3 linked regions of the Coturnix japonica genome follow. The protein of the gene in region 3 interacts with the protein of the main gene of each other region in a biochemical or structural test. Links are inferred from orthologs where the notes say so. Each region holds a gene or a part of one and is shown on either strand. Other genes may lie near its edges.

Region 1 (4,345 bases), on a different chromosome or scaffold from region 3:
AACTGGAATGTAGTCTTTTGAGGACTGCTCTCCAAAGCAATGATCATGGCATCGAACTGCCTGAGTTCAAGATGTGTCTGGTCAATGCTCTCAGACATATAGTCTGAATTTTGGATGTGCGTGGAGCCAGGAGTTGGACTTGATGATCCTTGTGGGTCCCTTCCAGCTTGGGATCTTCTATGATTCCATGACTAGCACAAGAAACTTCCTTCCACTCCATATCATCTCAGTGTTCATCCTCTAAGCTAATACTAAAACTAAAATGAATGGATGTGTTCTGATGTTGGTGCAGGACTAGATCGGAAACAAATGCCTCCTACTGTGCCCACGAGGAAGCCATTATGCTCTTCCAGTCTGCTCCCCACAAGCAGAGAGATGTTCTTTGCCACTCTCCATGCTGAGCAACGCTGGTGATACTTCTGAAAGCACCAATGTGATTTGCATTCACAGTCCTTTCTCCTGCTGCAGTCCCTTTCAGAACTGTGCTTCAAAGTTGGGTGCTGTGATGTCACCACTGACCCATACTTGATGATCTTCGAGGTCTTTTCCAACCTGGGTAATTCTATGATTCTATACCTCATGGTATGAGGTGATATGTGGGCCCTCACAGTGCCTGTTTTCTTTAAGTGCACCAAGCATGTGTGCTACACCACAGTAAGTCCACATGCAGATTAAAAACAGCTCCAGGTATCTCTCAGAATGTTTCCATCCCATCTCCTGTGATCTGTGCTACCTAGCTGCTGTGGGATGTTAGTGGGGATGGATCTGCCAGCGCAGCATGGCTGCTTTCAGCAGATGCAAGCTTTCATCCCAGCTGCGCTGAGATGCAGCACACATCCACAGCGACTGGCCCAGCCTGCAGAGAAGAGCTGTTACATTTGGGTCACACTGCTTGCATTGTTTAGGCTTTTCCTGGCAGAGCCTCATAATTACTGCTAATTACTGTTCTGCTAGTGTTTATAGCACATCTGACCAAATTGCTAAAGCACACATTATTGACATTTATTTGGGTTTGAGGCTCTTTACCTTCAAGCCAACAGCCACACCAGTGTGCCAGCAGTGGGGCAGGCTGTATGTTTGGCTGCCCGTGTGTCACTGGCATTGCAAGGGGAGAAGAACACACATACTGAGGGCCAACAAGGAGGCAGAGCTGGCATCATCCCACTGAGACCAGCTAGGCCTGAAGAAACGGCATGCCGACACCCGCATCCCCCGGCCCCAGGTCTATCTGTCCATCACTGCCCACCGTCCCAGTCGAGGCGGGTTGAACGGCGTCCCCGTGGGGCTGCACGGGATGAGGTCCACACTGCTCAGGAGGGACCGTCGGCAGTGGCCCTTAGGATGCCGGCGGGGTCCCGCAGCGCCGCCTCCGCCCGCGCCAAGGCTGCTCTCGTTCAGCGCCGCCGGGGCCGGGGGCGAGGCGGGGGCGGCCCGGGGCTGCGCGGGGAGGCGGTGCGGCCAGCCCTGACGTCAGGGCCCCCCCGCAGCGCGGCCGCCGCCTGACACCTCCCATCGCCGGGCGTGCGGGGCTGCGAGCAGCGGGCAGCGGCAGCAGCAGCTCCTCGGCGGCGGGACCAGCCCCATCGCTCCTCGGCGCCGCTCGGTTCCGCTCGGCTCCTCTCGTCTGCATCGCACCGCCCTCGCCATGTCGGTGGCCGGGCTCAAGAAGCAGTTCCATAAAGCGACCCAGGTACCGCCTCGGTCCCCCCCGCGCCGCTGGGGCCGTGCGCGGGTGCGTGGAGCGCGGCAGCGTGGCGCAGTCCGATGCGCGGCGCTGGACTCAGTCCGGCTGCCCAGCCCGCATCCGATTGCACGGGCGCTCGTGGGCTGCGCGTGTGCATGGGTGCGCGTGGTGTGAGTGTGCACGGGTGCGTGCGTGCACGGGTGTGCGTGGTGTGTGTGTGTGCGCGGTGCGTGAGAATACACGGGCATGAATGAGAGCACCGCAGGCTGCTCCGCCGCCCCAGCCGCACCGGGTGCCGGTCTCGCAGGGACTGACTGGCGCAGCGGCTGCTGGGGCAGGTGCCCGCGTGGGCGTCGGACCCGTTCTGCGGTCTGTGCACTGGTTCTCCATCAGAACGGTTTTAGGTTGGCTTTCTGAATCAGACCTTTTAAATTATTTTTAAACCCCCCCCCCAACTACCCTCCCTTCACCACCCCCCAACCCACTTAGGTTACAGACAAAATCTGAATAATGAGATTTGGTCGTGTTGCTTTAGGCATGGTGTGTTATTGCAAGGAGGTCAGGGTGGGTGTTTCACCCGGCTGCGATTTGTTTCATAATGCAGAGTCTGTATGTTGTAGTCTGTAAGGGTACAGTTCCTGAATTGGGCTCAGACTTGGTGTGTTCTGGGGATGAATCCAAAATGGTTTTGTAGAAGCCTGGGAAATTTATCTGAATTTACAGACTGTAGTCCAAGTCTTGCGTGAAGCTCCATTATTTTCTTTGCAAGTGAGCACAGAACTCCTGGTAATTTTCACTGACTGTCATTACATCTTCAGGTAGCAGTGTATGTTGCTGTAAGCAGCCCCTAGGTGCAGACTTGCAGATACAGCAGCCATTAGGCTTTTCAACACCTACGCTTTTTCCTTTCTCATCCATCTCTTCTCTTTCATCTCATCTGTTGCTGCAATGTGGAGAGATGCACCTAAAGGAATGAACCCTTACACAAGAATTAGTCCCAACTTTAGTTCTTGCTGTCTTTGCAATTATACCATACCCATTCTGACTAGAAATGCGGTGGGATGTGCCAAGTCCTCCACAGGCCCGTGCAGGAGCAGGGTGACATTGTGTCTCACCTTTCATAACAAATTACATTGCATCATTGGTAAAACAGACTTCACAGAAACCTGCTGTTCTCATGACAGATGCAGTAAGGAGTTTTTAAGTGTGCCTGAGCCCATACTGTAGTGTCCATCTGCTGCTGCTACTTCATTTTATCACTCTCTGCTACCTATATCAAGCCCAGAAATCATCACTGCTATTTGAGTTCTCACACTGATAAGTAAGAATTGCAGGATCTGTGTCATCCAGAGTTAAGAAATAGGCAATCTGAAGTTTACTTTCTAGTAGCGTGCCTCAGTTCACCATTATTGTAAGTTAATGAATGTGCCTCTGCAGCAGCAGGGTGCACATCCCTTTTAGAGGGAGAATGGTCTGTGAGTGCTGTTCTGTCCTTCAGATGACATGCTCACATGGACTGTCAGCAGTATTGCCATGTAGAAGGAAAGAAAAGTTTTAGCTGGCTGGAGCCAAAATAGTATATTGCTGATGCCAGATTTAGCAGCCTGCTATCAAATGACCCAGGGATTTTTGGGCCCAGCCGTGACTTTCACAGACTGTTTGTATGCAGGGCATGAAGACACATTCATGTATGAGAATGACTCACAAGTAGGTTGCAAGACAGATCTGTTTATTGGCTTGTTTTAAGCATGAGTGAGAAATCCAGGCCTTGGTTGTGCTGTCCTTACCCCTGGGAGAATCCTTCTGATAATGGATTGATCCCCAGGCAGAGTATGGATAGGCATTGCCACTGTGAATGGAGATTCCCAGATGGGATGAAACAAACTGGAAGTTTTAAAGACTCTGAATCTTTCCCATCATTCTTAGACATGTAAGAACTTGTGTATGATGCACAGTTGTACTGCAGTCCTAAGTCACACCTGTAACAATTTCAAGTTATTTCTGATGCTCCTTTTAATTCAGTAAAGCATTTGGAAGTCTTTGGCTTAGTTTCTTTCATCCTTTTATGTTGTAAAATTAGTAGTCCTTTTACACACGAGTGCATTGTGAGTATACAATGTTATTATTACAGAATACTCTTTCAGTTGTGAAAGATTTGTCTCACTATTTAAATGTTAAAAAAATGCTATTTCGGCAATAAGTCCCTGGCAGAAATTGAAATAGTATGACTCCTATGTCTAGATTGTTTAATTGCTAAGCAAGTGTTTTGATTTTATATATATATATATAAATACATATTTGACTTGTGAAAGGTCAGGCTCACCTGCATTAAATAATGCCACTTCACAACAGAAATCATATTGAAGACCTTAATGTCTGTCAAATTCCTTGCACTAACTGCTTCAGGAGTACATCATTGGGAAGCAGGTGGTAGCTTTGCTCCATATGGAGTGAATGGCATATTCACCCCATTTGGATTTTAGACAAAAAAAAACATGGATGGTTTTACCTCTGTGAAACATCATAAAGTTTAGAACAAATATTCCTGAGTTTGTGAAAACAAAAGTGAGTCTGTAATCATAAAATTCCTTCAAAATTACAAGAAATGAGGCTGACAAATGTTGAAGTACAGAACAGGCTACATTACACATTTATGTGTAT
Region 2 (4,096 bases), on a different chromosome or scaffold from region 3:
GGGCTAACATTAAGCTGGCCATGTCCCTGGCTCACATCCTTGCTGGCAAAGGAGGGAACTTGCATTAGTTTGTCCTCTTGCCTGGCAGATTTGGGACTGTTGGAATGGAGATGGCACACAGTCCCTCCTTCTTTCCTCCTGAGATGAAGCCTCGTAGCTTAATTAGAGCCAGCAGGGAGAAAACCTCAGTCTTATTCTTCCTTCACAGCAGGGCACCAGTAGCATTTCTTGGATGTCAAAAGGAGGATTAAATTAGCCTGCAAGCGAATTTTCCTCCTTCACATCTCTGTGCTCTCTGAGAGAGTGCTAAGCCTCCAAAATCACTGTGGTGATCACCGTGTACAACATGGCATGCAGTCCCTGATTATGGCAGAGCTCCCCATCAGAGGCAGTATTTGCAGCTTTCTGGGCTGCCAATCTGTGGGTGGGTGGAGAAAAGCAGGGATGGAATTACTCCACTTAATTGTACTCTTCTCAGGTTTATTGCAGAGGGAAGGATCTTTCTGGAGGTGCTGCTCTGGGCTGTGTAGAAGCCCCTTTCTGGTCATGGAGGCTGCATAGCGAGCTGTCTTTTGGCATAGAAGCACAAGAGTGGGTGGTGGCAGCTGGGAGTGAGTGCCCACACAGGGTCTGGAAAGCAGAGCAACCGCTTTGTGGTTTATTTTCCCTGCTCCATAGAGGAATGTGTACTTCCCCAGCTCAGAGCTGGCAGGCAGAAGTGTGTGCTGGCACCCCAAGCACAGAGCAAAGATCCAAAAAAAGCAAGAATTCAAGTTTTGGTTGTTTGCCCATCTGCAGGCAGCTCTGCAGTGATAACACCCCTTGGAGCCCCTATTGCCTCCTGGCACACTCTGAATCCATAGTCCTGCACTTCCCATGTTCTTTCAGGTGCTGGAAAGAAAGCTGGTGAGGTCAGGAGGGCTGTGCATGGACCACTGTGAGGCTGCACACACAGAGGGATGTGTGAAGATCCATCTGGGCATCCATCTGAAAATGAAATCCAGAGTTGAGAGCTGGGCTGGATGAACCTGGAGAGCACTGACCCCAGTGTTTAAATGCCCAGAGGAACCACAGCGATCTCTTTGTGAAACATCTGAGGTCCCCAGAAAGAGAAAAAAGCCCTTGCCCAGGTGAAGTGAGGCCCTGAAAGGCTGCTGCCTTCTATCTCAGTTCTTTCAAACTCTTGCTCTAAAAGGATATTTTGGCCTTGGGATGATTTATGCTACTGTTGCTCAGTGCAGAGCTGTCATTCAGAAGAGCTGTCTGCTCTCTAAGCCTCTTCCCTGTAATGTCTGCGTGCCTTGAAGCTCTGAGCAGCTGCAGATATCCATCCACTGAGGCACGAGGAGCATATCAGCCATAGCAGTCAGTGCTCAGCCCAACACCTTGGTTTGCAGCTCATCATTTGATTTTGGAACTAAGCACTGCCCAGTGAGTGCAGTCACACGGACCTTATGGGGTATCTCTAAGTGCATTTGGAACTGGATGTTTGCCTAAAGAGTTTTTTTTTCTCCTTGTCCTCTAACAACTAAGGAACCACTGAGTCCCCATGGGCACCACAGGAAGAAAGACTTGATAAAATCAGGTATTTGATGTTGAAGTAAACAAACCTTCATTGTTTGTCCAGAGCTGGAGTTTTGACTACAAGCACGAGGAATCCTGGCAATGGCCTGTGGCGGGCATCAAGAGCTTGGGAGGCAGCAGCCATTTCCTAGACCACTTTTGATATCTGTGGAGGTAATTTAGTGTGCACGGACCCATTTTGGGGCCTGGCAGTTGCTTGTGGATGTGTTGCAGGTAGCTCTGGCCAGTCTATTGAACCCCAGGTGTTGCCTTGCCACGAGGGAACAGGGCAGGAGATATCCCCCTCCATTTGGGTTGCATGGAAGGACACTTCTTCAGTTGGATTTAATAAAGCACTTTTGACACACGTCTTTGAGCTCAGGAAGGCGAATGGTGAAGCTTTGGGAAGAAGTCTTTTCTTACACTAAATGGCATTTTGAAGCAAGCCGATAAGCCCTTCATGCAGATAGCCAAAAGCAACCCTGCCTTTCCAGCTGTGTCAAACATCTCGTGTTCACTTTGTTTTAGAACAGACGTCAGAGATACCTTGATAATTGGATCTGAACGTTTTCCTGTAGCTTCTGTAAATCTCTTTATCCTTCTCTTTAAAAAAATCTTGAAATACAGAGCCCTAGATCCTAAGCTCTCACCATCTGGATTGCAAGGAGTTGTGGTTTAAGGCTTTGAGTGGTTCTTTCTGAGCTTAGTTCTTGTACTGGCTGCTGCAAGCAGAGTATCTTAATTCCCTGTTTACTTGCATTTTGCCTTGTGTGAAATTAAAGTTGAGAGACAATGCTGTTGCTTGCTTTTCCCAGCAAGCGTTGGAGTTGGAGCTGTGCTTATGAATTTAAAGAGCTTTGTAGCTTCTGCCAGGTGGGGAATATCCTGCCTATGTCTGAAGGTTCAGCTGTGGTGCCTTGGGAGGGTAGGGGACATTTAGATTGTTTAATGGGACAGTGTTAGCAAAGAGCCACGTGTTGTTACCATGCTTTGGGCTGTTCCTACTGCCTCCTTTCTCTTGCAGGCGCTGTCTGGACCACCCCTGTTCTCTTTCCATCCCCAGGACTCTATACCTCTCTGCATGAGGTAAACAGCCACTACCATGCCTGATTCTTCCTGCCTTGTTCTTTTTCTGCAGCTTGTCAGTGAAAAGGTTGGAGGGGCAGAAGGGACCAAACTTGACGATGACTTCAGGGAAATGGAAAAGGTGAGCAAGAGATAGGAGAAATCCCTAAAATCACCCATGTCACCTTCTGTGACCTTGCCAAAATCCTGAACTGATCTTCACTGCTGCTGGATCATCTTGTTTTCCTACAGAAAGTGGATGTGACCAGCAAGGCAGTTACAGAAGTACTGGCCAGAACAATAGAATACCTGCAGCCAAACCCAGGTGAGTGGTGGGACCTCTCCTATCCTTTGCCTCCCAAAGAGGGTAAGAGGGAAATAGGCAGAAGGTGCAGAGAGACCTCAGAGAGAAACTTCACGACCTTGAGGTGTGCCACCAAGCCCATATTTGTTATCAGGTATTCTGCCTACCTTTACCTGATGTATGCTGGGCTGTCCTGTACATTTCCTGTGGCTTTCCTAATAGTCTGAGCCTAATGAGGTCCTACCCTAGCTCACAGGTGCTTTGTGATTGTAAAGCCATCTCGACCAGTGATGTATTTCTGGGCTGAAAGACACTGCTGTTGCTGTCAAACAGTGAATAAAACAGACAAATCTTTAACGTTGGATCTAGGAGAGATCTGGAGGGGACCTATTTTTACCAGGGTGTCCAGAAAAAATATAATCTCTGGGTTGGGAAGAGTCGGTTGGCTTTGTAACCACCACCTCCAGAGCCTGCTGCCCTGTGTGTTTCCAAGCAGCTTGTTCAGAGAATGCTCCAGGGACTATGGGAGGGCTGGGGAAACTCCTTTGGCCTTCACCAGTTAGCTGTAGGGATCTATATTTGTTTGCTGCCTTGGAAAAGAAACTTTACTTTTCGTAGCAAGTGATATTTCTGGTAGATTATGACAATAGCACTTCTTGGCTTTGGGAGTCACTTAAAAAAAGTGAAGTGCTGGCAGTGACCAGCAGCTGCTGGCAAGTCCAAGCAATTACAAACACGGCTGTGGCTGTTTCTTTGCCAGCTTCCAGAGCCAAGCTATCCATGCTGAACACAATGTCGAAGATCCGTGGGCAGGTGAAGAGCCCAGGCTATCCACAGTCAGAAGGGCTGCTGGGGGATTGCATGATCCGCTACGGCAGGGAGCTGGGCGAGGACTCCAACTTTGGTGAGTGCCCCGTGGGGCTGCTCCCTCCAGGAACGTGCAGATGAGACAGCAAAGTCCGGTGCCAAATTTCCAAGCTGTTCCTCTGGATTCCTAAAGGGCTCTATGACCCTTTGTATCACTTAGCAGCATGTGCCTTTGGTCCAGGCCAGTAACGAGTGCCAGATCTATAGCAGTCTCAGAGCAAATGCATGGCAGCGGCTGTGCCTCATTTCTTAAACCAAAACCAAGGGTAAAATCCACAGCTCAGTGCTGATGTGCTT
Region 3 (3,561 bases):
TCCCTAGAATCCATCTCTGTGGTAAAAAACAGGAGTGTCTGAACAGGGTATAGCTGGGAACTGACCTCTGTTACCTGGTGCTGTTGTGACCTCTTGGCTATTATGGGAACTGTGACATTTGTGCCCAAGAGCCCTTGTAGCCAAGCTGGGCAGTTTGTAAGCTTTCTGAACAAAGGAAGGTATTACACAGCTGTTTTACTTGATCATATTTTACTTGTTCTTTTATTAAGGGCAACGTACTATTGGAGTCATCACTAAGCTGGATCTTATGGATGAAGGAACTGATGCTAGGGATGTATTAGAAAATAAATTACTTCCTCTTCGCAGAGGTACGTTTCCTCACGCTCTGTGCATGATCTTCCTTCATTTTCCCTATATTTGGTATCTTTGCCTCATTCCTTTTCTTCAGGGTTCCTGGAACATCTGTTATGGTGTGTTCTTAAGCCAGCTCTGTTCCAAGTCAGAATTGAGAAGCTGGGGAATGGGCATGAGTCATGCTTAAGGAAAAGTAATTTTTAGGTATTTGTATCTTGATAGGTAGTGCTAGAAGGAGCATAACCCCGTGCTCTTATCTTTACTTTCTTCATTATATTTAATAGGCAAGCTGCAAAAATGGGATTCCTGTACTATTCTCCCCCCGCACCCCAAGTCTCTTATTTGATGGGATTACTGTAGTGCTTCAGGTGAAATCACATTTCCTGTGCTGTGCTATGTGCTGTACATAACCATAGTGGAATACCTGTCCTAAGGACATGAACAGAGAAGTCCTGAATGGAAATAGGGTGTTCTTAGTGACTGGGGGAGCAGTGATCAAAAAGCTAATTCTCAGTTGCATAGTGGCATTTCTGTCCTGTATACCAGGGAATTCCAGTTTTAAACTCTTCTGCTTGGTCCCAGATGTGTTGTCCTTAAGATTTCCCATTTGCAGTGTTGTTTCCTGGGTAGTTTCCTTCTCAACCTGAGCCCCACTTACATTTTCATCCTTGTAACTGCCTGATCTTTAATGCCATCCCTGCAGGTTACATTGGTGTAGTCAATAGAAGTCAGAAGGACATTGATGGCAAGAAGGACATTCAGGCAGCTCTGGCTGCAGAGAGAAAGTTCTTTCTCTCCCACCCAGCCTACAGACACATGGCTGATCGTATGGGAACCCCCTACCTGCAGAAAGTATTGAACCAGGTACCACCACCAATTGAGAACTGCTGCCCACTGTGCCCTTTATTCTGGGATAGCGTCATAGCAAATTTCTCCCAATTTCATCCTAAACCTTCTTCCTGCACAGCAATTGACCAACCACATCCGTGACACCCTGCCAGGGCTGCGCAACAAGCTGCAGAGCCAGCTGCTCTCCATTGAGAAGGAGGTGGAGGAGTATAAGAACTTTCGCCCTGACGACCCAGCTCGCAAGACCAAAGCTCTGCTTCAGTGAGTGCCCTTCACTGCGTGTCCCTCCCTGGAAAAGCCTGCCTGGCTATGTCTGCTACTTCCTGCTTTCTGTCTTCATTTAGGATGGTCCAGCAGTTTGCTGTGGACTTTGAGAAACGCATTGAAGGCTCTGGAGACCAAATTGATACCTATGAGTTGTCAGGAGGAGCCAGGATTAACCGCATCTTCCATGAACGTTTCCCCTTTGAGCTGGTGAAGGTACTGTTTCTCTGTATGCTTTCACCTTTTCCTACCTGTTTTCTTGTTACTTTTTACATGTTTCACCATCTATTTTCCCTTTTAACATTTGATGCTGTCACCTTATTTTTACTTCCTGTTGTTGGAACCTTCCCATAATACTCTCCTCTCTTAATTCCTGTCCTTGTGAGATAACTTTGCTTTTTTTTTTTTCCCCCCTGGTTAATATTTCTTTTGCTTTCTATTGCCTGTTTGAAAACATTAAGAACCAAAACATTCTTCTCTATCTTCTGCATTTTGCTGTTTCCTTTTTCATTTAAATATGACAATTCCTTGTTAGTGTAATACAAGAGCCTGCCTTGTATTAGATGATGTAATTCTGTATGTGAATTTTAAATCTCTTGGAGGTGTTTTCTGGCAGACAGCTGCCAAGACCTCACATTAAGCCTCAGGAGACAAAGCAGTTTGTTTTGGAAAGCAATCTAGTGCTTCAATCTTATTGCTTTAAGTAGCTCCTTGGGAGCTGCTGGGAGGGTTGGCACCTGTAAATGCAAGCCCTTAGCTATTCTTATCTGTTCATTTTTGTCCAGGATGTCTGCTTTGGCAATACAAGCTTTATGGCTGGACTCTACATCCGACATCTAGGCTAACATTCACCTGTCACATAATACTGGCATGGGACCTCCTATTGTGTAGAGCGTGCTGTTAGGTGTGCTGGGGTTGTGCAAACATCAGCCTGTTTCTGATAAAAACTCTCTCTTGGTGCAGATGGAGTTTGATGAGAAGGAGCTGAGACGGGAGATCAGCTACGCCATCAAGAACATCCATGGTATCAGGCACGTATCATGCACTAGGCAGACCACTGGCTGCGTAGTCTTGTAAATACCTCTAGACCTTCCCAATGGAGTTGAAGACTTCAGAGGTACGGTAGGTCAGCCATAAGGGAGAGGACTTCCTTGGACACCCTGGTGGTTTGAATCTGGGAGTAGGGATGAAGTAGCTGCTTTCTGTTCCCATATGAAAACTGCTGAAGCCTAAAAGGTAATGCAGCTGTGGTTACTAGTTTTCTCCCTCCTTGTTTCTACATAAGAAAGGACTGAGGGATGCAGGCCTGTACTGCTACTTAATTGAGTTTTAAACGTTGGTTTTCACATTATGCTTCCATTTTTACCAACATTCAAAACAGCTGCTGATCCTGAGCACCTTCCCTGGAGATCAGAGGGAGCTTTAGGGTTCCCATCACCAGGATTCCAGCAGCCCCAGGGGTTGAGTCCTAGGGCACAGTCAGCAAATACAGTTTCATCCCCACTAAGTGAAGGTTAACTGCCAGAAAGCACAGTCCGGGGTCACTGAGTGGTGCCGTTCCTGGGAAGGTGACCAGAGACTGGTGCCTGTTGTCCAACTGGGATCCATTTTACCCTTACATGTGCCTCTGGGGAGGTGCCAAGCATCCCTTTTTATTCTGGATTCCAGGACTGGTCTGAGGGTTGTGATGCTCCCAGCCCTGTGTGCGGGGTTTCAGTGGTGGTGGTGCCTACACTGAGATGCGTGTGTAACGTGACATTCTCCTTGCCCCTTCTCCCCCCCCTTCCTGCCTTGTCTTGTCCCCTACCCTGGGTGTTTAGAACCGGTCTCTTCACACCCGACATGGCCTTTGAGACCATTGTGAAAAAGCAGGTGAAGAAGATTAAAGAGCCTTGCCTGAAATGCGTGGACATGGTTATTTCGGAGTTAATCAATACCGTTAGACAGTGCACCAAGAAGGTAACCGGAGGCAGCATGGAGCTGGCACCTTCCACCCCTCTCTCTGGCTGCGGCACAGCATTGTGACCGGGGCAGGGATTTGCCTGCAGTGGCACTCAGTGTTTCTAACCACCTCCTCAGCATGACTAGACCTGAGCAGTACCAGCCTGGGACGATCCAGCCAACAAGCCAAAC

What was found. The genes of interacting proteins can lie anywhere in the genome.
Region 1: the proteins of DNM1 (region 3) and SH3GL2 form a complex in vitro, tested with the Homo sapiens proteins (2 studies listed by BioGRID and IntAct, with this or other methods). The link is inferred for Coturnix japonica from reciprocal best matches to the Homo sapiens genes DNM1 and SH3GL2.
Region 2: the proteins of DNM1 (region 3) and SH3GL1 form a complex in vitro, tested with the Homo sapiens proteins (2 studies listed by BioGRID and IntAct, with this or other methods). The link is inferred for Coturnix japonica from reciprocal best matches to the Homo sapiens genes DNM1 and SH3GL1.

The regions. Positions count from the first base shown.
Region 1 is NC_029547.1:29,706,811-29,711,155, forward strand, and holds the start of SH3GL2 (endophilin-A1), read left to right. Parts: upstream 1-1,499; 5' UTR 1,500-1,645; coding exon 1,646-1,690; intron 1,691-4,345. UniProt on the Homo sapiens protein: Implicated in synaptic vesicle endocytosis. May recruit other proteins to membranes with high curvature. Required for BDNF-dependent dendrite outgrowth.
Region 2 is NC_029543.1:1,611,380-1,615,475, reverse strand, and holds the start of SH3GL1 (endophilin-A2), read left to right. Parts: upstream 1-1,250; 5' UTR 1,251-1,665; coding exon 1,666-1,737; intron 1,738-2,701; coding exon 2,702-2,770; intron 2,771-2,880; coding exon 2,881-2,953; intron 2,954-3,692; coding exon 3,693-3,836; intron 3,837-4,096. UniProt on the Homo sapiens protein: Implicated in endocytosis. May recruit other proteins to membranes with high curvature.
Region 3 is NC_029532.1:3,788,264-3,791,824, reverse strand, and holds part of DNM1 (dynamin-1), read left to right. Parts: intron 1-230; coding exon 231-329; intron 330-1,018; coding exon 1,019-1,179; intron 1,180-1,282; coding exon 1,283-1,425; intron 1,426-1,508; coding exon 1,509-1,644; intron 1,645-2,391; coding exon 2,392-2,459; intron 2,460-3,248; coding exon of another isoform or gene 3,249-3,387; intron 3,388-3,561. UniProt on the Homo sapiens protein: Catalyzes the hydrolysis of GTP and utilizes this energy to mediate vesicle scission and participates in many forms of endocytosis, such as clathrin-mediated endocytosis or synaptic vesicle endocytosis as well as rapid endocytosis (RE).